Linked DNA regions of Cricetulus griseus. The main gene of each other region encodes a partner of the protein of the gene in region 2 in a complex. Links are inferred from orthologs where the notes say so. Each region holds a gene or a part of one and is shown on either strand. Other genes may lie near its edges.

The links. Proteins that work in one complex are often made in the same cells at the same time.
Region 1: Ecsit (region 2) and Tmem186 share a complex: the UniProt entries of both Homo sapiens proteins name them as parts of the mitochondrial complex. The link is inferred for Cricetulus griseus from reciprocal best matches to the Homo sapiens genes ECSIT and TMEM186.
Region 3: the proteins of Ecsit (region 2) and Acad9 are in contact, whole or in part, in a cryo-EM structure (PDB 8PHE), measured with the Homo sapiens proteins. The link is inferred for Cricetulus griseus from reciprocal best matches to the Homo sapiens genes ECSIT and ACAD9. Residues at the interface, in NP_057665.2 of Homo sapiens: Pro321, Glu322, Glu323, Trp324, Asn325, Leu326, Tyr327, Tyr328, Pro329, Met330, Leu332, Asp333, Leu334; in NP_054768.2 of Homo sapiens: Leu180, Thr181, Asp188, Ala189, Ala190, Ser191, Ile192, Lys228, Lys239, Asp240, Lys241, Ile242, Phe293, Ala296, Met297, Leu300, Ile431, Met434, Tyr435, Leu438, Thr439, Leu441, Gln442, Gly445, Thr449, Leu516, Gly520, Lys521, Ile523, Met524.

Annotation. Positions count from the first base shown.
Region 1 is NC_048600.1:38,134,516-38,142,878, forward strand, and holds Tmem186 (transmembrane protein 186), read left to right. Parts: upstream 1-3,500; 5' UTR 3,501-3,588; coding exon 3,589-3,651; intron 3,652-4,748; coding exon 4,749-5,396; 3' UTR 5,397-6,991; downstream 6,992-8,363. Other genes in the region: Pmm2 (phosphomannomutase 2), read right to left, coding at 541-652, 3,323-3,376. UniProt on the Homo sapiens protein: As part of the MCIA complex, required for efficient assembly of the mitochondrial complex I.
Region 2 is NC_048597.1:134,976,425-134,984,474, forward strand, and holds the start of Ecsit (evolutionarily conserved signaling intermediate in Toll pathway, mitochondrial), read right to left. Parts: upstream 5,434-8,050; 5' UTR 5,311-5,433; exon of another isoform or gene 5,303-5,310; intron 3,807-5,302; exon of another isoform or gene 3,692-3,806; intron 40-3,691; 5' UTR 16-39; coding exon 1-15.
Region 3 is NW_023276806.1:113,496,404-113,504,628, reverse strand, and holds the start of Acad9 (complex I assembly factor ACAD9, mitochondrial), read left to right. Parts: upstream 1-3,362; 5' UTR 3,363-3,409; coding exon 3,410-3,580; intron 3,581-6,622; coding exon 6,623-6,716; intron 6,717-8,225. UniProt on the Homo sapiens protein: As part of the MCIA complex, primarily participates in the assembly of the mitochondrial complex I and therefore plays a role in oxidative phosphorylation.

The DNA.
Region 1 (8,363 bases), on a different chromosome or scaffold from region 2:
GGTGTGGTGGTTGACGCTGTCACTCTAGCACTTAGGAGGAGAAGATGTAGCTTGGGCTACAGAGTGAGACCCTATCACAAAGGCTCTCTAGCTTCCTAGTCCTGTGCTGGAGACCCTGGTGATGTGGATCCTAGTGACTCTCATGATTAGGAAACCCTGGAACACACTCCATCAGGGCTACAGGGACAAGGTACTGAGACCATAAGTATATACAAATCTGAGTGGACAGCATAGCCAGGAGGTGGGGTTTGGGCTGAAGTGAGAGAGAAGTAAGGGACATGTAAAATAGTAGGGAGAGAAAAGGTTCCACAAGTGAAGACAGACATGTACTTCAAGGTGAGTCTGTCTACACCTGAGTGTAGGGTTCTGTCAAAGGATTAAAACAAAGGCCAAATAAGGGCAGAGAAGATGTTTTCCCAGAGAAAGCAGAAAGCATGCTATGTGAGTGATGGTGGTTTGGGACTGCAGGGGACACTTGGCGGCAAGTCTCAGTACCCTCATGAGAAGTTAATCTTGTACTAGAGTGTAATTAGCACTTACCATCATTTCCCAGTTGCTCTTGCACTTTCTCAAAATCTGACCCACCTACCACTCCAATTTTGGTCTTCTGCCTCAATTTTTGTAGAAAGTCATCCATTTCTTTTGTAATTTTCTGTATGTCAGGAAGGAAAATAGGATGATTTGAGTGACAATAACCAGATTGAAACTGCAAACTAATTTAGTTCCTGTTTTTACACAAGCCCAGTGCTTTTACTAAGTGTGTAGAAAAATTACTATTTAGTTATATTTATTCACATTTGTCTACTCACTTATGAATGTTTATGGTGTTCTCTGTCCTGTGCAATGACTTGCTTTTTCTATTTTATGTTGTGGTAACCTTTTATGATAATACATACATCTAGTTTTTCTTTTTTGTTTGTTTTTGTTTGAATATATATGTTTGTATGCCACAAGCATACAGTGCCTGAGGGCAGAGATCACTTGGAACTGGTGTTACAGATGGTTGTGAGTCACTATGTGGATGCTGGGTCCTCTGGAAGAGCAGCCAGTGCTCTTAACCATGACACCATCCCTCCAGCCCAATCTTTTGTTGTTTAAAGGTGTTTCATGTTATATACATATGATTTAATATGTCAGAAGTGGGTATAGTGTCAAGAGCTATAATACCAACACTTGGGAAATGGAGGCAGGAGGATCAGAAATTGAGGGTCAGGTTTGGCTACATAGTTGGATTTCCTAAGACTGTCTTTTAACAGACAAACAAAAACAAAATACAAAATGGTGAAGGAGCATGACTGTGATTTAGAAAGTTACTAAGAGGAAACACAAAGTCATTTTGATTAAATATCAGCTGCTTTTAACCTAAGTGACAGGGATATGGGTTCTCTGTTCACTGTATTTGTCAATGATCTTTCTATGTGAGATTTTTTTTTTTCAGGATGCCAGAGTTGGAATATGATTCATGGAGGCCTGTGTCCTTATTTATTTATTAATTTATTTTTTGAAAACTTTTCTTAAGTCTTACTCTTTAGGGACGGAATGACATTTGATTTGGAAGAAAGCACCCAGGCCAACAAATTTCTACACAAACAGGAAATGTGCAGACCTTTGAAGTTCATGCTAACCAGACTGGATCCATGCAGGTCACATCATATAACAACAACTGCAATAAAAGATAGCCTGTTCTTCCTCTTCCAGACCGCACTGTGATTAGTAACGTCTAAGAATACACATGGATGGAGGCGGGAAGGGCTGATGATAAACAGATCTGCTGCCAAAATATTTGAACTATAGTACCAAGCATATAAAAAAAATTCTCTTTCAAATTACATTTTCTTTTATTGTCACAATTGCTTATGATCACTGCAAGCATATTGTTTCAAATGTCTGCAAGGAAATACACTCTGGGTCACCTGGCTTTTTTGCTATTCTGTATTTCATGTTTATCTATCTTCATTTACTTGGGAAACAGAAGCACTTTCTCAGTAGCATATCTAGTACCCAGAGTGGCCTCCACCCTAGCAGAGTGAAAGGAAATTGGACAACTAACAGTGCCCTGAGGACCAGGATCTTTAACTACAGCTGCTATGAGAGAGAGGCAGTCAGGGCTTCACTGGTTTCGGTTTCCTTACATTTGAATGGTAGAAGCTGGGTGGTGGGGGCATGCACCTTTAATCTTAGCAAAACTGCAAGTTCAACACTGTACAAAGGCTTAGAAATGTAGACTCCTGGCCACTATGTCTCCTGGGCCAACTGAACAAGTTTGTTTCTATAATAATTTTATTTTTATTATGTATGTATACGCATGTACATGTGCCACAATGTACAAGGAGAGGTAAGAAGACAACTTGTGGGAGTTGGTTCTGTCATTCTACCATGTGGGTTCCAGGAATTGAACTCAGGTCCCAAGGCTTAGGGTTTAATGACTCTACCCACTGGGCCATCTAAGCGGCCTCTTAATAAATTTATTAGAACATAGCTACTCAGTTTACATTTGGTCTATGGCTGTTTTTGCACTAAAGTTGAGTAGTTACTACAGGTCATATGTTCTACAAAGACAAAAGCCCTTTACAATATATGATTTCCGCTTCCAGCTCTAGACTACTATTGGCTCTTGTTTTGAGGCAAGTTCCCCAGGTTTGCCTCAAACTCACTATATGGCCCAGGCTCTGAACCCTCAAATCCTCCTGCAGGGATTAAACCCTATGCCACCTGCCCACCTTACTATCGACTTAACTCATAAGTGTGCATTGAGCAATGAAGCTGAGTAAGGGTTCTGGAGAACTTGTGGTTGAATGCCATCACTAGATAATTCAAACTGTGGCTCAGAAAGGCTGATTGTGGTAGAGAAGGGGTTGGGGTGGTGCAAGCGTCTCCTCTTTGAGGCTTGATGTGGGCGCGGCACTGTCACGAATTTCTGTTATCCTCACACACACCCCATGCAACAGGCAATACACCCGTTTAAAGTGGACTGGGGACTCCGAGGAAGTGATTTGCTCAAGGTCAGACATCTGAAAACCTGCCTTTGATATACTAGACGACACAGCCAAAGGTGACAGGGCTGGGAAAGTGGTACAGCAGGTCGGGGGGGCTAAACTGGAGTTACAATCCGGGCCACCAGTCCCCAGGACCCCCAAAGAAATTCAGACCCGAACTTTAAGACTCCGAACTCTTTCCTGTTCGGAAGAGGTCGTTTTTTGCCCCGTCTTCCTGCGCACCCCGCTCAGGACCCACGTCTCCTGGTCCCCGGGCGGTGGTCACCGCGGTCTGGGTTCTGCACGGGCTCCGCTCCACAGCCGCGAGCCTCCCGGGCGCCGCCTACCTGCCGCGGGGCAGTCAGGGTCCCATCCACGTCGAAGAGACAGAGCGCGGCCATGATTCCACTCGGAAGATTTGTTGGCACCCGGAACTCCACCCGGAACTTCCGGGTTCATTCCGAGCCCCGTAGCCCAAGGCACGACGGGAAAACGATGATTCCCTAGTGACTCACCGAACACTCACATAGACACAAGATTTAAACTACAATCCCCGAGATCTAACACTTTGTTTTTGGTTTGCGCATGCGGATTTTTTTTTAACTTTCCGCTCATGCGCTCTTCGAGTTTCCGGGGACAAGTCGGTTTACTTTTCACAGCAGGAGACCGTATCATGGTACGGAGGGCCGGTAGTGGGCGGTGAAAGAGGGTACGCAGTTAGGGGACCCTGGTCGAGCCTAGGACTGGCAGGAAGGATGCCTGGGCCGCCGATTCGGGAAGTGTATTATGATCTGTTATTTCCCAGCCTCCTCCGTTCCCCTTGGGTCACGTGGGCGGTCAGAGTCGCTACGACTCCTCGGGCGCGCATCAAGTCCAGGGCCTAAGATTACCATGTCTCGCTCAGCATATTCTGAGGCTTTCTTTGGAAAGGTGCACAAGGATGCACAGCTAGTGTCCGTGAGAGCCCGCCTCTGACTCTGAAGCTCAGAATTTGCTCACTTGCTACTCATCCAGAAAAATGTTGTGCAGTGTTTTGAAGGCCTCCGTGTCGCATTTCTCCGCTGTTCCCCCTTTCCCAACCAGGCTAATAGATAGTAGTTCTACCGTATAAAGAAGTCGGGAGAAATGCAAAGGTACTGTGATAAGTACCCCAAAGTTTTGATGCTTGGGTTTCCCACTGTGACACCGATTGGTTTACTCCTTGAGGAAGTGTCCCACAGACTTGTGGACCTAAGTTCGAGTCCACTGCTGGCTCGTCAGTAGGTCTTTACTGAATGTCTGAAAGTAAACCTTTCCTGTGTTTACTTGGACCTGCCTAAGGGAAAGGACCGGCCTGAGAGACCTGGCCCCATTCATTCTGTTGAGTTTCCGTGCCCTTGCGGGGGAGGGGACTTAGTTTTTAATTTAAAAAAAAAAAATCCTGGTGTGTTCAATGTGCATATGCTTGTGCCGTGGCATGTGGAGGCTCAAGGACATCCCTGCATGAGTAATTTTTCTTCCGATACTGTGTTGGCTCCAGAAGTGCAATTCAAGTCATCTGGCTTGGTGGCAAGCACCTTTACTTATGGGATATCTCACTGGCTGGGATTAGGGTTTCTTTGTTTGTTTGTTTACTTGTAAAAACAGGAGTATGCACTTATCCAGAGCAGAATTCCACAAAAAGTGAAGCCCCAATGGCTTTCTAGGGTTGGTTGGAGCCTTTCTGGAGGAAGCTTTGCCTTGTTCCTTGTGTGATTATTATGGTTGAATTCTGAAAGAAACTCTCTTTTCCAGTCTGTCTTCCTTCGAGCTGTGCCAAGATTTCAGGGGCCAGCCACATGGGGGAGACCTCTTCATCGGCTGTGGTGCTGCACTGGGCAGGGGGATTCCAACAGGTGGGTGGCTAGCAAGGCTCCCACCTTGCAGGAGAAGCCACCAGGCACAGAGACGGAGAAATTCCATACAATCTACCGATTCAGAGCCATCAAAAGATTTGGGTTTCTATCTCGACTGAAGTTGGCCCAGACATTTCTGACTGTGACAGCCCTACCCCCAGGCTTGTACTGGTACTCACAGGGCCTCCTGAGTGTCAAGTCACTCTACCTTATGAGTGGAGTCTCTTGCTTCACCCTGGCCATGCTGTGTTGGATGAGCTACTTCTTCCAGAGGCTGGTGGGCTTCATGTATGTGAATGAGTCAGGTACTGTGCTTCGAGTGGCCCACCTGTCCTTCTTTGGGTGGCGACAAGATACGTATTGTGCTGTGTCAGACATAATACCCCTGTCAGAATCCAAGGAACATGCCCAGGATCTGTTGGTACGAATCCAGCAATATGGTAGCAAGAAGACCTTCTATGTCACCCTGCGCTATGGCCGAATCCTGGACAGAGAACGTTTCTCACAAGTGTTTGGAAACCCAACCACACTTAAGAAAAACAACTAAGCTGGGCATTGGTGGCGCATGCCTTTAATCCCAGCACTCGGGAGGCAGAGGCAGGTGGATCTCTGTGAGTTCGAGACCAGCTTAGTCTCCAGATCGAGTGCCAGGATAGTCTCCAAAGCTACACAGAGAAACCCTGTCTCGAAAAACCAAAAAACAAACAAACAAACAAACAAACAAAAAAAACCAACTAGGCCTTTGGTAGCCCTGGTTACACTTGGATTTTAGACAGGAAGGCCAAAAACATTAATGAGGCAGAAGCTAATAACCAGGGCCTGGGGCTGAAGCTCAATTGGTAGACTGCTTGTCTAGCATGCAGGAAGGGAAACCCTGGGTTGAATCCCTAGAACTGCATATAACCAGGCATGGTTGTGCGTGTTTGTACTTCTCCATGTAGATGGAGGCAGGTGGAGAAGTTCAAAGTTGTGTTGGGGCAAAAAAGAAGATATTAACCAACTTTAGGAAAAAGCCCTTAGTGGAACATTGTACTGAATAGGACATTCCAACAGATAGTGACTAGAAGTTTTTATGAAGAGGCACTTCTTGGAGGAATGCTATGCCAAGGTCACAGAGGCAGCCCACTGCTATGAAACCAGAGGCAGGAGGGTTGGCAGAGGAACACAGACTGTGGAATTACAGGCTTACAGCATCGATAAAGGCTTCTAGCCTGCCCTGCACCCCTTGTGCTCACCAGCTAGATGGCCAGCACTGAAGCCCACTCCAACTGAGGTAGGGACAGCACCCGGCTGAGAATGCTGACCACCAGGAGATCCAGGGCCGCTTAAACTGGGGAGCTTTGCAGTGTCATCAGGACAGAGGGACACCAAGCAACTTATCAGCTGAAGGAGACTGTGTATGCTGCTTTTCATAATGGGTAACACACATGCTTATTAGGTGAATTGTGCCTGTATAAAGAGGAAAGCAGAAAGCAGCCATCATTTTTGTAATTTGACCACCGAAGAAGCGTTGTTAGTAATTCCCCCCTCCCCCCCACCAAGACAGGGTGTCTCTGTGTAGTCCTGGCTGTCCTTGAACTTGCTCTGTAGACCAGGCTGGCCTTGTACGACATACTACCTGGCCAGTAGTTTCCTTTCTTGAAGAATTGTTCTTTTAAAATCACATGTATTTATTTGTGTGTGCCCGCTGTGCATATGTGGAGGTTGGAGGACAACTTTTCAGAGTCCTTTTCCTTGGGAATTAAGTTCGGGTTGTCAAGCTTGGCAGCAAGCACCTTTAGCCACAGAACCATCTTGCTGTTCCTCTAGTCATTCTTCATTGCTTTAAAACGGAGCATGAACAAAGATAACAATAAACATACCAAAGTGTGTGTATGAGGAGCAGGGATAGACACAACAGAAGGCCTCAAGCCACACAAAGAACTACAGGCAACTCAAGACTTCTGAAAGCAGGAGAAATAGCCCTCCTCAGGGAAGAACACATCAGTTAGTTACCAATAAGAAATGGTCGGCCCTGAAGACACACACATGCAAGTACAGACTGAGCAGGTTGTATTTAGAAGCATATGCATATGGGAGAGAGGAAAGGGATGAGGAAAATGATGTAATTGTGTTGTAATCTCAAAAAAATAAAACTTAAAAATGTGCATATCAAATTGTGATGATTTTTGTTTGTTTGTTTTTGGAGACAGGGTTTCATTGTGTAGCTTTGGAATTTTCTCTGTAGACCAGGCTGGCCTGGAACTCAGAGATCCTCTTGCCTCTGCCTCCCGAGTGCTAGGATTAAAGGCGTGTGCCACCACCACTGGGCCTTTTTTTTTTTTTTTTTAAATTGTAACAATTTTTATTGGTCAGGGGCATAAAGCTCATCCTCAGTATTGTACAGCCATCGCTGTTGTCTAATTCTGATGCTTCCATTGGAGAGGTAGAGGCAGGCTTGGGGCCAGCCTGGTCTACAGAGCAAGCTCCAGGACAGCCAGAGCTGTTACACAGAGAAACCCTGTTGCAAAATATAAACAAAATTAATGCTTGACTGTCCCAAATAGGATCTCAGTACTTGGGCCATAGTCATCACCTGCCTTCATCCTCTCTGTCTTCACTTGTTTTTAGGCACTGACTAATCTGTCTCTGAATTTGTAATTCTGACATCTTGTGTGTGTCCTCCTGTGTTTGGCAGCTTTTACTTGGTGTAATGTTTTCACAGTGTTGAGTCTATTAGAGCTTATTGCTTACACATGTCAGTGAAAATGAGTTTATTCAGGACTTGACTCTCAGATGAGAGGGGGGATTTTACCAACTCAGTAGGTCAGTGGGTGTTTGGGTTGTCTTCACCCCTGGACTATTGTGAAAAACACTGATGTAAACAATATGCAAGCACCTGTTGGTTTTCCTGCTGTGGCTTCTTTTGGGAAAATACTGGGAAGGAAGTAAAGACATGACACAGGAAAACATGCTCCCAGTGACCTAACTTCCAGTATGTCCCACCTACTGTTTTGTGGTTTTTTTCTTATCTAAAGTACTTTTTAAAAAATATTAATGTATTTATGTTTATGGGTGGTTTTTTTTTTTCTTTGCTACTTGAGAGTCTAAACACCAGAAGAAAGCATCCGATCACAGTATAGACAGTTGTAAGCCATCTTGTGTGTGCTGAGAATTGAACTCAGACCTGGGGAAGAGCAGTCAGTGCTCTTAACTGCTCAGCTATCTCCAGCACCTAGTTTTTTAAGTATATTTTTTAGACTGGATTTTTGTTCTGTAGCTTGCTGTATGTAGACCAGGCTGGCCTCAAATTCTCGGAGATCCTCTTGCCTTTGCCTCCTGAGTGTTGGGATTAAAAAAAGGTGTGTACCACCATGCCAGACTTGTTTAGATTTGTCTTTATTTTTGAAACAGGATCTCACTATGTAGACCAAGCTGGCCTCCCGACATCCACTTGTTTCTGCCAAGTGCATACAACACCATATTAGGCCTGTTTTTGTTTCAGGGTTCTTTTTTTGTTTGTTTGCTTTTTTTT
Region 2 (8,050 bases):
CTGGACCCAGCCCATGCCTCAGCAGATTCAGCCACCAGCCTAGTCAAGAGAAGTTGAGACATCATTGAGCCAGGCAATACAGCTCAGATGGAAGAGCTTAGTCTACCAAGCCCCAAGTGTTTATTTTTGTTTCATTTTGTTGTTTTTGAGATAAGAGTATCATGTAGCCCAGGCGTGCTTCAGATTTACTCTGCAGCCAAAGATGGCCTTAAACTCCTACTCCACTCTCCAATGCTGAGATTACAGGTATGAGCCACCAAGCCTGACAATTTTTTTTAATTTATTTTTTATTACATATACGGTATTCTGGCTGCATATTTGCCTGCACACCAGAAGAGTGCACCAGATCTCATTACGGACGGTTGTGAGCCACCATATGGTTGCTGAGAACTGAACCCAGGTCCTCTGGAAGAGCAGCCAGTGCTCTTAACCTCTGAGCCATCTCTCCAGCCCCAAGTCTGATAATTTTTAAAATTATATTTATTGATTTATTGTGTGTATGTGTGCCTACCTCATGCATCCACTGTACATGCACTTTTGTGGAGGTCAAGAGATAGCGTGAAGTTGGTTTTTCTTTACCATGTGAGTTTTAGAATTAAATTCAGTTGTTCAGGCTTGGCAGCAAGTACCTTTATACAACGAGTCATCTCACTGGCTCATACCTGGAAGTTACTCTTCATTTTTTCCCCCAAGACAGGCTTTCTCTGTATAGACCAGGCTGGCCTCGAACTCACAGAGATCCACCTGCCTCTGCCTCCCAAGTGCTGGGATTAAAGGCGTGCACCACCAACGCCCAGCTCTTTCCCTGTTTTTTGAGGCAGGTTTTCTTGTAGCCCAGGCTGGCTTCATACTTGCTATGTATCTAAAACTGACCCTCTTGCTTCTACCTGAGTGCTGGGGTTACAGGTGTATACCAACACACCCACCTCCAGAAAGTTTCCATGGTAGCAAGGATAATGAAAACTCTTCCTAACATGTTCTCTGAGGCCTGGATACACTAATACCAAAACCCACAGGTACACTAAGAAAACTACAAATCATTGCCTCTTGAATATAGCTGTAAAGTTCTCTTGCAGTGGATTTACAAACATACAAAAAGGATTCTACATCATAGCTAAGAGAATTTGTCTCCAAAATGCAAGGGTAGTTTAATATCTGAAAATTTATTTAATATATTAATAGAACAAAAACCCCAAATTACATTATTTCAGACAATGCAGAAAACTCTTACTTTTTATTTGTTTGAAACAAGGTCTCACTATGTAGAACAGGCTGGCTGTGGGGTTCCCTGTAAGTGTCATGATCAATGGTGAGACAATCTGGATGAGGTTAAGCACAACTTAGCTGGTGCTGGGTCCAAACTTCTGGAGTCTAATGTCAAGTGGTTTATTTCTTACACATTTAAACAAAGTAAAATTTTAGAAAAAAAAGTTTGCATGTCATGTGACAATTATCCTGACAAAGCATTAGGCATGACTACATGGAAACTGCCTTGCAAAGTGCATCTCTGTAGCAAAGCCCCTATGACCTTTCCCACAAGAATGGATTCTGCTGACTGAGAACAGTGATCAGGACAAGAGCCTAGGGAGGAAGGGTTTGTAATAAGCATCAGGATGGGTTCTTTTTGGTTTTTCGAGGCAGGGTTTCTCTATGCAGCCCTGGCTTTCCTTGAACTGGCTTTGTAGAACTCACAGAGATCCACCTGCCTCTGCCTGCCAAGTACTGGGATTAAAGGTGTGAGCCACCACTGCCCAGCAAAGGATGGGTTCTATTGACTGAGAAATAGTACTTAGAAGTCTAGGGGGAATAAGCATAATAGCAGGCTCTTTTGTAAAGCACACTCGACCTCTTTCATGAGGATGGGCTCTATTGACAGAGAATGCTCAGGATTCTTGGGGATTCGATGAGGGCTGGCTTTACAGAATAGCAGTCACATCCACTCATGGCCTTATGGATGGAAAACAGGTGTCAGTTTCTTCATTCTCTAGTGCTGTCTGTAAGCTGCGCCCTCCACAGCTGGCCTTGAACTCAAGAGATCTGCCTCCTGAGATCTGGGATTAAAGACATGTGCCACCATGCCCAATGAGAGATTCTTTTGCCACAGTTCAGAATCCAGACAAGGGTGTGCAGTCTGGCCACTTCTCAGTGTTGCACCAGAACTTCCAGTAGTAGCACTCAGGCAAGAGAAAGAAATAGAGCCGCCATCGAGACAGCTCAGTTGGTAAGTGCCTGAGTTCTATCTCAAATACCCAGGGTGAAAAAAGAGATGGGACTGGTGAGATGGTTCACTGGGTAAAAAATGCTTGCTGCCAAGTCTAAGGACCTGAGTTTGATCCCCAGGACCCACATGGTGGAAGGAGAGACCTGAATTCTACAAGTTGTCCTCTGTGCTGGTGTCATGGCACATCTGTATATACATACTCAGGGATGTACAAATAAGGGTTGGGTTTTTTGTTTGTTTGTTTGTTTGGTTTTGGTTTTTCGAAACAGGGTTTCTCTGTGTAGCTTTGGAGCCTGTCCTGGCACTCGCTCCATCCTTGTGTGCGCGCGCATGCGCGCGCACACACACACACACACACACACACACACACACACACACACACACACACACACACACCTTTGTCTAGTTGAGCCAGGCATGGTAATGTACTTTTATTCCTAGTATTCAGGAGGAAGAGGCAGGCAGATCTTAGTAAGTTCCAGGCGAGCTAGGGCTGCATAGTGAGAACCCCAGTGAGCTGCTGGGGGCATGGTTCAGTGGTAGAGCCCTTGCCTAGACTGCCCCAGTGAGGGGCTGATGGTAGAATACTTGCTTGGCATATAGTTAGATAAGAAGAATCTAAACCTTTGCTTTGCAGATTGTGTTCTAGGACCTGTAAAATGTTGACTCTTAACTCAGATATCCTGTGTGGGAATATGCACTGTGACAGCCATAGGTGGCTCTTACATGTTTAATCAGAGCAGTGAATACTCTCAGTGAGTGCTCATGGTTCCCTCATGTTTTCACCCCATACCTAAACATAATTTTGGTACAAACCAGCCATCTCAAACTCCAGTCATGGGATACCAACAGACATACCTTTGATCTGGAGGTTAGCCAGGGTTACCACCCTTCCTCACTATTCAAGCCATAAAGCAGGAGTCATTTAGAGTCCACCATGTCCTTATTCAGTCTGTCCAACAGTCCTGGAGACTACTTCCCAATCTGTCCCCTTTGCTGTAGGTCACAGCACCAGGACCGGCTTTGCTTTCCTGCATAGGTGTCCACTCTCTCCTGTCCAGTAGTTACTTCCCTCCATTGGAAAAGAAAGCTCTAACAATGCAAACTAAGGGGCTGGAGAGATGCCTTTATTGGTAAAATGCTTGCCCTGAAAGTCCAAGGACCTGGGTTTGATCCCCAGCACCCACATAAAAAGCCAGGTGAGGTGACATGCACTTGTAATCCCAGCACTGGGGAAGCAGAAATGGGCAGGTCCCTGAGCTCGATGGCCTGCCAGCCTGCCTAATCAGTGAGCCACAGGTCCCAGTGAAAAGACCCTGTCTCAAAGCACAAAGTGGACTGCTCCTGAGGAACAACATCCAAGTTTGACATTTGTCCTCCTATACACATGTGCATATGTGTACATGCACTAACATACATCCACATACCCACACATGAACACATAAAAATGCTGGGTGTGATGGCACATACCTGTAATCCCAGCACTCAGGAGACACAGGCAGACAGATGTCTGAGTTTGAGGTGAGCCTGATCTACATAGACACAGCAAGTTCCAGACCAACCAGGGTACATAGTAGGACTCTACCTCAAAAAGGAAAAAAACAAAAAAACAAAAAAACAAGACTTGAGACAAGTGTTGTGGCTGTAAAGCCAGCAGTGTGGAGTCTGAGGCAGGAGGAATTGCATCCAGTATCAGACCAGCTGGTAGTAATTAGTGAGCTCATGACAGTGTTGAGTTACCATAAAGTCCCGTCTAAACTGTAAATAAATAAGAGCCAGGACAGAAGATTCAACTGAGAAAGGTACTTGCTGCTGCAACAATGCAAGCCTAATGACCTGAGTTCAATCCCAGGAACCAGCATAAGGTGTATGGATAAAACTCCCTGGCTCTCCTCTGACCTCCACCATGCAACATGGCACACATGTGTGTCCCACCCCACCCCAATAACTAAAAAACTTCAAAGTAAGTAAATATCAGAAAGGGTGGGTAGGGAGGCTGGAGAGATGGCTCAGTGGTTAAGAGCACTGACTGCTCTTCCAAAGGACCAGCACCCACATGGCAGCTAACAACTGTCTGTAACTCCAGTTCCAAGGAATCCAACACCCTTATACAGGCAAACCAATGTACATGAAATAAAAATAAGTTAATTAAATAAATAAATCGACCTCATATGGAGTCTACCTGCTGAACTGCCCCTATCCTTGTAGCTCCAGCCACACTGTTTCTGAAACAAGACAAGTTTATTGGTCTCACAGGCTTTGAACTTGTTTTACCCTCTGCCTACTGCTTATCATCTTGGTGCGTGCCTGTAATCCAGCACTCAGAAGGCTGGAGCAGGAAGATCGAGGCCAAGCCAGGCGGTGGTGGAACGCGCCTTTAATCCCAGCACTCGGGAGGCAGAGGCAGGCAGATAGATCTCTGTGAGTTTGAAAACAGCCTGGTCTACAAGAGCTAGTTCCAGGACAGCCTCCAAAGCCACAGAGAAACCCTGTCTCTAACACCCGCCCCACCCCGCGCCCCCCCCCAAAAAAAGAGTTCGAGGCCAGCTTGGGATACATAAAGACTCTTGTTTCATGGAACACACTGCAACAATCATTATTTGAAGTCACGAAATGATCTGCTCCGTTTGCGATCTGCTCAGCAATTGCCTCTCTTAGATAATATATTTTTTAATCTGTTTTTCTCATTTATATGCCTCCACCAGCAGGGACAGTGCCCTAGTACATGGTAAGTGCCCAACACCGACCATCTGAGTACGGATAAGCAGATGAATCCTTACAGCGAGGTGGCGTGTATGTACGTGTGTGCGTGGGCTGCCGCGCTCCCAGGTCTCCAAAGCCTGCCTCACCGCACAAGGGCTGCGTGGCCTCCCTGAGCTGCTCCAGCACCCGCGAAACCGGACATTTAAGCACACGGTGCCGAGCAGCCTTTCCTCGCCCGTCCCCAAGCACGAGCCCCAAAGGTCACGGGGCCCTCACCCTGCGGCCGAGGTGAAGGCTGTCCTCTCCGGCTCTACCAGGCCTGGAGGTGGACGCCCTTGAACCCCAGACTGTCCCATCGCCCTCCCACGCGCGACCCACCTACTCACGCGGCCGACGGCGGTACACAGCCGGCTAGGTGCCACCGCTGGCAGCCCTCATGTTCTGTCACAGAGCTTCCGGTTACCGGCCGAAGGCGACAGCAAATCGGAAAAGCCAGAGACGATAGGTCCCGCCCTCAAGGAGACGCTCACCAATAGGAAGGAGGGAGAGCACTGATCCCTGCCCCTCACCCAACTGCGGGAGCCTGGGGCCTTGGGTTCCTGCCGCGGCGGCGCCGAGTCCGTCCCGTCCAGTTTCCTCACCCGAAGTGTGATGGAATGTCAGTTGTTACAGACGAAATACTGTTAGGGACCTGAAGCACCACGTCCGGTTCAGTGCAGAGTGGGGATGGAACCCAGGGCTTCTTGCGTGCTGAGCAAGCACACTCCCAACCAGCCCCAAGCCCCAGGGTGTATTAATGTTACCAAACAATTGCTTTTGAGTTGTTTGAGTCAGGGTCTTGCTATGGTGCTCAGGCTATTCTCAAAACCCCGGACTCCAGAAGTCCTGAGGGTTCAACCTCCCGAGTAGCTGGAACTTCAGGTGGGCCGCGCCGCCAGCAGCTTTAACAGGGTTCCTTCCAAGTTATGTTTGTTTATTTTGTGTGCGTCTAAGTGAGCACATTCGCGTGGAGGCCAGAGGACAATTTAGGGGAAATGGTCCTTCCATCAAGTGGATACTGGGGATGAAACTTGGGTCATTATGCATGGTTGCAAGCACTTTTAGCCCCCTTTAATCTGAATCTTTGAGATTTGAATTCATCTATGTAAAATAGCCATATAAGTACAACAAGGGCTACTGTGAGAAAAGGACATGCATTCCTGGCACCCCTCTCTCCCTCCCCAACAGGGAGTCTGGGTTTACTCTTCAAACTGCCTACACTGAGGGCTGAGAGGCCTTTGGAGTGTATGTGTAGGTGATGTGATCATGCCCTGGAACTGTTGTGTGCGTGTATAGATAATATTGATTATGTATATAAACACATATATATCGAATTATTATATGTATGTCTAATGATTGAATGTGGAGTCTTGTTTTTGAAAGGGGAAAATTAATAAAAGTCTAAAACCTGGACTCCAAAGCCCAAATAGAAAATTCTGAGTTCCCAAAAGGCAGCCCAGCAGACAAGGTTAAACAAAGGTCCACAGGACCAGATATCACACTCTTGAGCAGTGTCGACATTCCTCTGGTCCAAAGAGGATCAGATAGTTATCAATTGTAGAAGTCCCCAGCCCAGGAGATAATTAACAAACTCATTTCCTCTGCAGCATCCTGCTTAATTGCACCTTGCCTGAAGCACATACCATTGTCCTGTCCTGTGTAACCACGGAAGTTTTGAAATCTTCGGGCTTCCAGCCCTACAATTTTGCCTTATAAAAACAGCCCTCAGTCGAAAATTGGTACTCCATTTGTAATCTAATGTCCAGGCATAGTGGCACACGCCTTTAGTCCCAGCACTTGGGAAGCAGAAGCAGGCAGATCTCTGTGAGCTCAAGGCCTGTCAGAACACAGTCCACCAATGGAGTTGTGCTGGTGAGAAAACACAACATGAATCTTTTCTTTTCTTTTTCTTTTTTTCTGTGTTTGGAAGAAACTGAGGTCACAGGACTCATGTCTTGCTGGGTGGTGGTGACACTCGCCATTAATGCCAGCACTTGGGAGTCAGAGGCAGGTGGATCTCTGTGAGTTCAATGCCAGCCTGGTCTACAGAATGAGTTCCAGGACAGCTAGAGCTGTTACACAGAGAAACTCTGTCTTGGAAAAAAAAAAAAAAAAAGAAAAAGACCTGAGTCTAATTGTTGGAGCCCACACAGTGGAAAGGATAACAGACTCCCATATGTGTGTCCTGGCTTGTGTGCTTGGGTACACACACACCAGTAAATAAATGCAATAAAAAAATTTAAGAACAAACAAAAAGGACCAGGGAATGAGCCCCAGTTAGTTGCTTTAAGTAAGTGCTTTCACTGAGCCATGTATCCCTGGGTCAGTTGTATGTGGTATAGTATATCTGAGTGTCTCTATCTTGCAGTCCTTGGAATAATCCTAGAAAAATAGTAGAGAGTATTGGTAGACATCCTGGCAGCCAGAGGACCATGGTCCACATCACCAGCCATGAGTCACTGTGACGTCACATGCCCTGGATATGACACACACAGAAAGCACGCTGTCACCTTTCTGGTATCTTTCCCGAAAAGCTTCTGTTGAATCAGGGCCAAATTATGAGACCATCTAAAATCAAAATCACTGCTGAGGGTTGTCGAAGGAGTCAGGCTCACAAATGGCTGAGGAACAACAACTACTGGAGAATCTAAAGAGGTTGAAACTAAACGCAAGGATCTTGGCTTGGTCTCCTGACCTAGACAAAGGACACAAGTGGGGGGATGGGAAAAGAAAGCAAACAATCCTCGTGAAGCCTGTAGCTCTGCAGATGGAGAAGTTTTCCTGAGCTGGGCATGGTGGTGCACACCTGTAATCCCCAGAGTTAGGACATTGAGCCAGGAGGCTTGTGAGTTTAAGGCCAGTCTGGACTACAAAATGAGAGTCTCAACCAACTAACTAAACAAACAAACCAAAAAGTTAATTTATTTTTATAACGGTCAACATTAGGGGCTGGAGAGATGGCTCATAAGTTAGGAATACTTGCTGCTGTTGCAGAGAGTGAGTTCAGTTCCCAGGACCCATGTGGCAGCACACAACCACTGGTAGTTACAACTTCAGCTCCAGGAGGGGTCCAACACCCATGGATAC
Region 3 (8,225 bases), on a different chromosome or scaffold from region 2:
CAGGGGTCATGGAGAGGTGCTTCTCGTTGGCTTGCTTCTCATGCTTTGCTCAGCCTGCTTTCTTATAGAACCCAGGATCATCAGCCCAGGGGTGGCCCCACCCACAATGGGCTAAGCACTGCCCCAACCATCAATCACTAGTTAAGAAAATGCCCCATAGGCTTCCCTATTGCCGGATCTTATAGAGACATTTTCTCATTTGAGGTTCCCTCCTCTCAAATGACTTTAGCCTGGTTAAGGTGATTTAAAACTGGCTAGGACAACTGACTTCTTATTAACTTGACACAAACACACACTGTTCAATTAGAACATTTCCTTTCTCATTTGTCCCCAAGGTAGCACATTAATATCAATATTATAAAATACAACATAAATAAGTTCTAAGGACCCAGTCTTTACAAATTCAAATGCATTAAAAGCTCTCTTCAAAATATCCAGTCTCTTAAAAAACCCAAAATGTCTTTAAAAGTCAAAATCTCTCAACTATGGGCTCCTGTAAAATAGGAAAATAAGTTACATACTTTCTTACTTCATGAGAGAAGAACCAGGGCACCATAACAACCTTAACAAAGCAAAATCAAACTCCAATGGTGTAAACAACCCAGGTATCCAATGTCTAGTGTCCACTTCTGATCTTCAGAGCTCCTCCAGAGTGCACAGGTCACTTCTCCAGCTCTGCCTCATGCATAGCTTATCTTCTAGGATTGGGCTGACTCCACTCCATGGCTGCAGCTGTTTTTGGCCGTTGTCCCATAGTTCTGGCATCTCCAAAATTCTGGGGTCTTCTACTGTAAGTGGGCTGCACTTTAACCAATAGCCTATGCTAGGCTTTCTTTTTGGTGCCAAGCCTCAACTCCTCTCCATTACACCTTCAGTTTTTGTACTTCAACTGGTATTCGGGGTGTACCTTCACCAATGGTCTTTTCTGGCCTCTTGCAGTGACAGCTGCTCTCCAGGACCCCTTTATGCTTTCAAAACCAATACCACCTGAGATTTTTTACACATGATCAAGTTTGGTTGCCAGAACAAGGTACAAGCTTGATGGCCTCTACAAGACAGCTTGTGTGTCTGATCCTAAGGAAACACTTCCCAGAAGACTCTGCTTCGGTGATGATGGTGTCTTCTTAATCACCACTAGGCTCTCAGCTCCAGCTGACCAGCATCAGTTGCCCCAGGACAACAAAGAGAAACCTTTGTACCTTGCTGGTCTCTTGTTAGTCACAACTCACTCTTTAGCCCCAGCAGACCAGAATGAGTCTTTATCTAAAATAGCAAATGGCCCTTTAAACCTCCCTCTGAACTTCAGAAGCCAGGCCTCCATCATCTGCACTGCTTTCAGTATTATCTTCGTACTTCCCACATTACACCTCATCTAAATCCTAACCCTCATCTAACCCCAAAGCCTACCCTAACCTTTAGTATTGAATACATAATGTTGGGAAGTGAGGACTCAAGAATGACATAGGATTAAGGTTTAATCAGCTAGGCTCCGCAGTAAATACCATTGCCTGAAAAGCAAAAACATACCCAGGACCTAATTAGGTATTTTAAAACATGCTGAGTTTGAATTGCTCATACAATACACAGATAGGTTAAGTACAACTGGACTCCTGGTTATATCCAGTCTAGAACATGAGTTTGGACAACACTAGCAGATTACACTGTCGTGGGGACTCCTAGGTCACCTGGAGATCTTAAATCAGTGGAGCAGAGGGTCAGCACCGATGTCAACCTTTAAGAGGGCAGTCTGTGGGCTATCAAGATGGATTAGTCACTTGTGACTAGGCCTAGAGACCGAGCTTCAATCCCTGAGAAGTTGTCTTCTGCCTCTACACATGTGCTCTCTCTCCCTCTCCCTCTCCCACACATAAATATCTAAATAAATAAATAAATAGGTGAATTGAGTGCTTTAGTTAGGGTTTCTATTGCTGTGATGAAAAACCATGACCAAAAGCAAGTTGCAGAGGAAAGGGTTTATTTGGCTTATACTTCCACAGCACTGTTCATCACTGAAGGAAGTCAGGACAGGAACTCAAACAGCGCAGGATCCTGGAAGCTAGAGCTGGCAGAGGCTATGGAGGGTGCTACTTACTGACTTGTTCCTCAATGCTTGTTCATCCTGCTTTCTTATAGGAGCCAGGACTACCCAGAGATTATAGGACCACCCACAATGGGCTAGACCTAGTCTGTAGTTCAGGGACCTGGAAAAGTCCCTAAGTGTACTAGTCTTGTTTTTTGCTTGCATAGTTTTGATTCTTGCTAACTGTTCTTGCTAACCATAGAGTGTCAAACATGCTTTCTGTGCATAAAAGGCAAAGAACAGTCAGGCTCTGGGCTACCTAAGTTGGGCAAGTACCCTGTGTAGCTGGCAAATAAAGACTTTCTATTGGTCTTAAGAGCCCACCTGTTTTCTGAGGAGTTATCTTGCAACAATGAATGCCACACTGGTTCACTGGATGTGACCAGCCCAGAAACAAAGGCATCACAGACATAGGAATAAACCCTGATGTGAGAGCTGGACCCTGCCTCATCTTACTTCCTCTAACACATGACATTTCATAAAAAACCATGGTGTTTATAGTTTCACAGGGAAGGCCATTGACATAAGGGAAGTGACTTGCCCAAGGAGTGGTGGAGAGAGCAAATGTCTGAAGATTGTGGCCATCAAGGGCCAGGTTAACTGGTGTATGACAGAGGGAGTGGTAGACTTAGGAAGGCATGAAACAGCATGCCATTATCGCTTTATGTTATCTCTCCTACAAAAGATATCACTCCACTAACATACTGAAAAGGATTTGGTAGAGGTGGGTTAGTAAAATGGGGCTCTTGTTGTTTTTTATACTCATTTGATAATATTCTAAGTACTATATCAAGTGAGATGAGAACAAAGCAAGGTTGTGATTCTAAGTCTATATGCCTAAATTAGTCTTCTACTGAAGGGACCTGGTGAGAATAAGCACATAGACTCCAGGGATCCCGTTTTCGGGAGCCCAGATAGTCCTTTAGCAATTTGACTTCTAAGCATTTTTGCCTTATTGGGAAAATTGTAACAAGAAACACACACACACACACACACACACACACACACACACACACACACACACTCCTAGCCTGTTCGGATGGTTGAAAAAAATTACAATTTCTGAATTACATATTCAGAAGTTACATACAGCATATTCCGGATCGACCCGTTTGACAGCCTTGATTAAGGTTTCCTCCAGAGCGGAACATCATGAGGCGGCGCAGCCCGTGCATTATTAAGAAGCGCGGACTAGCTTCCGGTTGCGAGCTCACTTAGGGAGAGACTTTGGCTACTCCGCCTGCGGAAGGCTTATCGGACGCGGGTGATTTGCGTCATCAGGAGCCCGGGGAGCCTTCCGGTGACTTAAAGCCTGGTGTCAAGAACAGCATGTCTGGCTGCGGGTTCTTGTCTCGTGGCGCGGCGGCTCTGGCCGCGGCGGCGACTGCTGTGCGAGCTTCCCGAGTGCCTAGGATCTTCACGGGGACGCACCGCCGGCTGCACACCAGTCTGCAGAGCTGCTCTTTTGCCAAGGAGCTCTTCCTGGGCAACATCGAGCAGGTAAGGCAAGCCCTGGCTCCCTTGTCCTATTTCCACCTTCGTTGGTACTTGGCCGGAGTCCTTAAAAGACAAACGCCGGAGAGGCTGGGCTCGGGGAAATGTGGCTTTAATAGGGTCGCGGAGGTTTTTGTTTTGAGACAGGATCTCCTTAAGTATTATTAGCCCAAACTGCCTCTGGACTCACTCCGTATACCAGGCATGCCTTTAAATCGTGACTCTCCTGCCTCAGTCTCCAGAGTAGTGATTTAGAGGCGTGTGCCATCACACCTACCTTTCCAACTATTCCTTGTCAGGGAAACTTGGGAAATCCTTGAAGTGGTTATTACGAAGACATCATCTCCTTGTCCAGGCTGGGAGATATGATTTCTAAACAACTCATTCCGTGCAGCTTCTCTGGCTTACCTTCAGCTCTGCGACTTCCTCCAAGTTTCCTTTCCCCTTTCAGAGCTCCACAACCCAGCTTGTAGCAACCTCCAGGCCATCACGTTGAGAGTGAGAAGGCTTTTCTTTTCTTTTCTTTTTTTTTTTTTTTTTTTTTTTTCGAGACAGGGTTTCTCTGTGGCTTTGGAGCCTATCCTGGAACTAGCTCTTGTAGACCAGGCTGGTCTCGAATTCACAGAGATCTTACCTGCCTCTGCCTCCCGAGTGCTGGGATTAAAGGCGTGCGCCACCAACGCCCAGTGAGAAGGCTTTTCAATGAATTTGAGTTCGATTCTTTTTAGTTGTGTTGTCTTTAGACAGTCTTCTTGTTAGACCCCTGGAAAACTCAGGCTTCCAGGGTCTTAGCCCACAACCGTGGTCACCCAATCACCAGGTGGATTCGAAAACTTGCTGCAAACTTCATGAGGCTTTATTGTTGTTGTTAGCTCGGGTCTTTCACCCACCCACCGTGGCAGATGGCTAGCAAAGACACCTCGGAACCAGCTGCATAGAGATCTTGTAGGGCAGCGTAAGGGGCGTGTCTAGGGGTACGCACAGGCTCAGGATTGGTGTGCTTCCATGCTTGGAGGGCTTGCCCTGTGTTGATTGGCCAATTGGTTGTTATGGCCCTTAGGCCCTCCCAGGGTGGTTGCTATGCTCTGTGTGTCATTGCTGAGCACTTGTCTGTAAAGCATACCCAGAGCCGTAAACATAGTGCCACCTGCTAACTTCTGATTGGTTCCTTGCCATGAGGCAGGCGTCTGACTTCTAGAGACTAGGACAAGGTCATGGCAAGCACATGTTACTGTCATGGCTGCCGAAATGGGGAGCTGGTCCCTTCATTCTCATATTGTCTATAGCCCTCTCTTTTCATCTACAGCAAGCCTCTTGATGAACTAATCAGTGTCCTGGCTTTAAATATCGCCTCTATGCCTATGACTCAGATTTACTTTTCACCTTAAAGTTCTTCCCTTAATTCCAGACCTATATCTTCCTTTCTGCTCAAAATCTCCCCGAAAATGTCTAATAAGCATCTTTGATAAGCGTATATAAAAAGTCTCCCCTGGATCCCACCCACTGTTGCCTTTCCCAGCAGCTTGTTTACCACAGATAATGGAAACTCTGATTCAGCACATTCTCCCGTGACATCTTGATTCTTCTTATTCTCATAGCCCACATTGCATCCTATAGTAAGTAAATCTTTCTTTGTCTTCAAGTTACATTTAGAATCTGACCACTTTTAGCTACTTCCTGGATCAGTGGAACACAGTTCTCAAAGCATTTCTAGACCTTGATCAGGACAGTGGCAGTGATACTTTAGAGTCTTGTGGGAGGGAGTGTCTCAGTTACCCATGCCAGTGGCTGCCACAGGGACAAGTGGGAGATTGAATGGGTGAGGTTTGTGTGACATTAGCAGACTGACCTACAGCCAGTTGGCTTTCTGTTTGTTTGTTTGTTTGTTTGTTTGTTTTTTGTTCTTTTCGAGACAGGGTGTCTCTGTGGCTTTGGAGGCTGCCCTGGAACTAGCTCTTGTAGATCAGGCTGGTCTCTAACTCACAGAGGTCTGCTTGCCTCTGCCTCCTGAGTGCTAGAACTAAAGGCATTCGCCACTTGGCTTTTATAATTGACTTCTGCAGTTGAATTACTTGAATAACAGGTTCTGTTGCTTTACCAGCTTGGAAGATGCTGATTGAAATCAAGCTCCAGTCCCATGGTGTGCCTCATTCAGTTCTGCCTCTCATTACTAGAGGGTATTTTCCTCCTGGCCCCCAGAATCTCCTCATGAAGTTTTATGTTGTTTGCTTTGGTTTTGTTGTTTGTTTTGTTTTGTTTGGGGGGCAATTGTATTTGTTTGGTGTTTTTGTTGTTGTTGAAATGGGAGCTTGATGTGTAGCCCTGGCAGGCCCAAGATTCACTATGTAGAACAGGCTAGCCTTGAACTCACAGGAGTCCACACTAACAGAGGACATGAAAGTTGGTTAAATCCAGTCACACAGGTAAAGTGTGGCTAAGTCAGGTTGAATTCTTGTCCTGGGATCCTGAACCTCTAATGTTCAACACAGGAAGCCAGTAGCCATGTCCTAAGAAACAGTTGCTCAAGGGAAGACATGCATGGTGATTGGAATATGTTCTTACTGTTGGGAACATTTGAGCTCACACAAAGAATGATTGATGTCTGTTTTAATGAAGAGTCCTCATAGCCATTGTCTCACACAAGTCTCAAAGGAATCTTGGGGAAACGTGGCCTGCACATTGTTGGTGAGAAAATGGAAGTACTGCTGGAATCTGACCTCAAAACTAGTAAATAAATAGCAGGGCATCTAAATGGAAGTCCCCAGCTACTTGTTTATAGGACACTCTGCACCCTTATTAGTGATAACAAGGGTGAAAATTAAGATTTAACTCTCCTGCATGTACAAGAAAATAGATAACAATAGAGCCTTAGACGTAAGCCCATCCCTGAAGGATCTTGTGAAGTCATGTCTCTCTCTGCCTCCCTCCTGGGACCAGATGTGTAACCTAACTCATTTCCCTTCCCTTCCCTCCCCTTCCCTTTTGATAAACACTATAATGAGAAGTTCCTGGAAATTGAATTTGTCATACTTGTTTTTTACTTTTTAGAAAGGAGTTTTCCCATTTCCAGAGATTAGTCAAGATGAACTTAGTGAAATCAATCAGTTTGTTGGACCAGTGGAAAGATTCTTTACCGAAGAAGGTGTGTATGGTTTTCTTTGTCATTGTCTTCCCAGGGTCAATTGGATTGCTTACATAAGAAGCCCTATAGAGAGAGGAAGCTCTTAGTGTGGTTATTAAATTACAATAGTTTCTACTCATAATAGGACCTTCAGGGATCACTCAGTTTAGTTAAAAGACACTAATTCAATACTCCTCTAGTCTCTGTGGTAAGGAACCTCTTTGAAATGTTTCTACACTGCAGCAGGCTAAAACTTGTATATAACATAATTAAAGTGAGTAACTAGAAAAGATGAAAATAGCTGAGGTCAGGTAGTTCACATACTGTGGCAAAAGCTATGTAGTTTTAGAAGCTTCTTTTGGTGGCTTTTGTGGAGTTTCTGTAGACGACTGTGTTGCTGATGAGCAGTTTTCTTCATGTCCAGCCTGGAGTTCTTGTCTCTGACCTTCTGCACTGGCCAGACTTTCATTATGATGTTGACCAGGTGGCAAGGCCAGGCTTCCTTGTCGTCTTCCTTATTTTAGGGACATAGTAGCACCCACCTGTTATCCTTAGGTCTTGAGAGGCAAAGCAGAAGGACTGAGATTTTTGAGAGACCAGATTACATTTAGGGAACCTTCAGTTCTCTTTATTGACTTGTGTATACATAAGTATAGATTATGATGTTTTTAACACTTTACAATAGTGATAGTGTTGGATTTCATAGCCAAAGTATACTTTAATTAACTTGATGCATACAGACAGTACAATTATAGACATAGAGCTGGTGATTGCTCACTTCTACTCTTGCATGGGGTTTTGCATTTCTTTTATTTAGTGTGTGTTTGTGTGTATATTCATGTGCGCATTGTATGCCATGGCATGTCTGTGGAGGTTAGAATATACCTTGTGAAAGTTGGGTCTCTCCTACCATGTAAGTCCCAGGTATCAAACTCATGTTGTAAGGCTTGACAGAAAGCACTTTATCCACTGAGACAACTCACAAGGCCTAGTATGAATTTTGAGTCAGTGGCTAAGTTAGTGTTACACGGAATAAGTTGTTCCTAGAACCTATGGACTATAGTGTAGACATCGAGGCTCTGAATACTGGGTGGAACTAGACCCAGACACCATCTGCACAGTGCTGTCTATCCTGATCTTCCATTACTGCTCTGAGCTATGTATTTACTCCCTAATGTTTGAGAAGGTACAGCAATTAAATTAAAGGTCCAGTTGAGTGTGTGTATTACTTGCTTCTCTTATCCCTGTAGCAGAATTGCCTATAAGAAGCACCTTAGGGAGGAAGGGTTGTTTGGCTCATGTTTTAAGGCTGTAGTTCATGGAGGTGACAGTCTGGTGACAGAAGCAGATCTTTGCTGTGACTGCTTGCTTCTCACACCTAACCCGAACCAGGAGAACAGGTGGGTCTGAGCTGCCCAGCTCGCCTTCTCATCTCCTCTTTTACTATAATGCAGGACTGCTGCCCATGGGGTGATGCTGCCCATGGGCGAGGCTCTTCCCACCTGAGTTAAACATCTTTGGACACTCCCT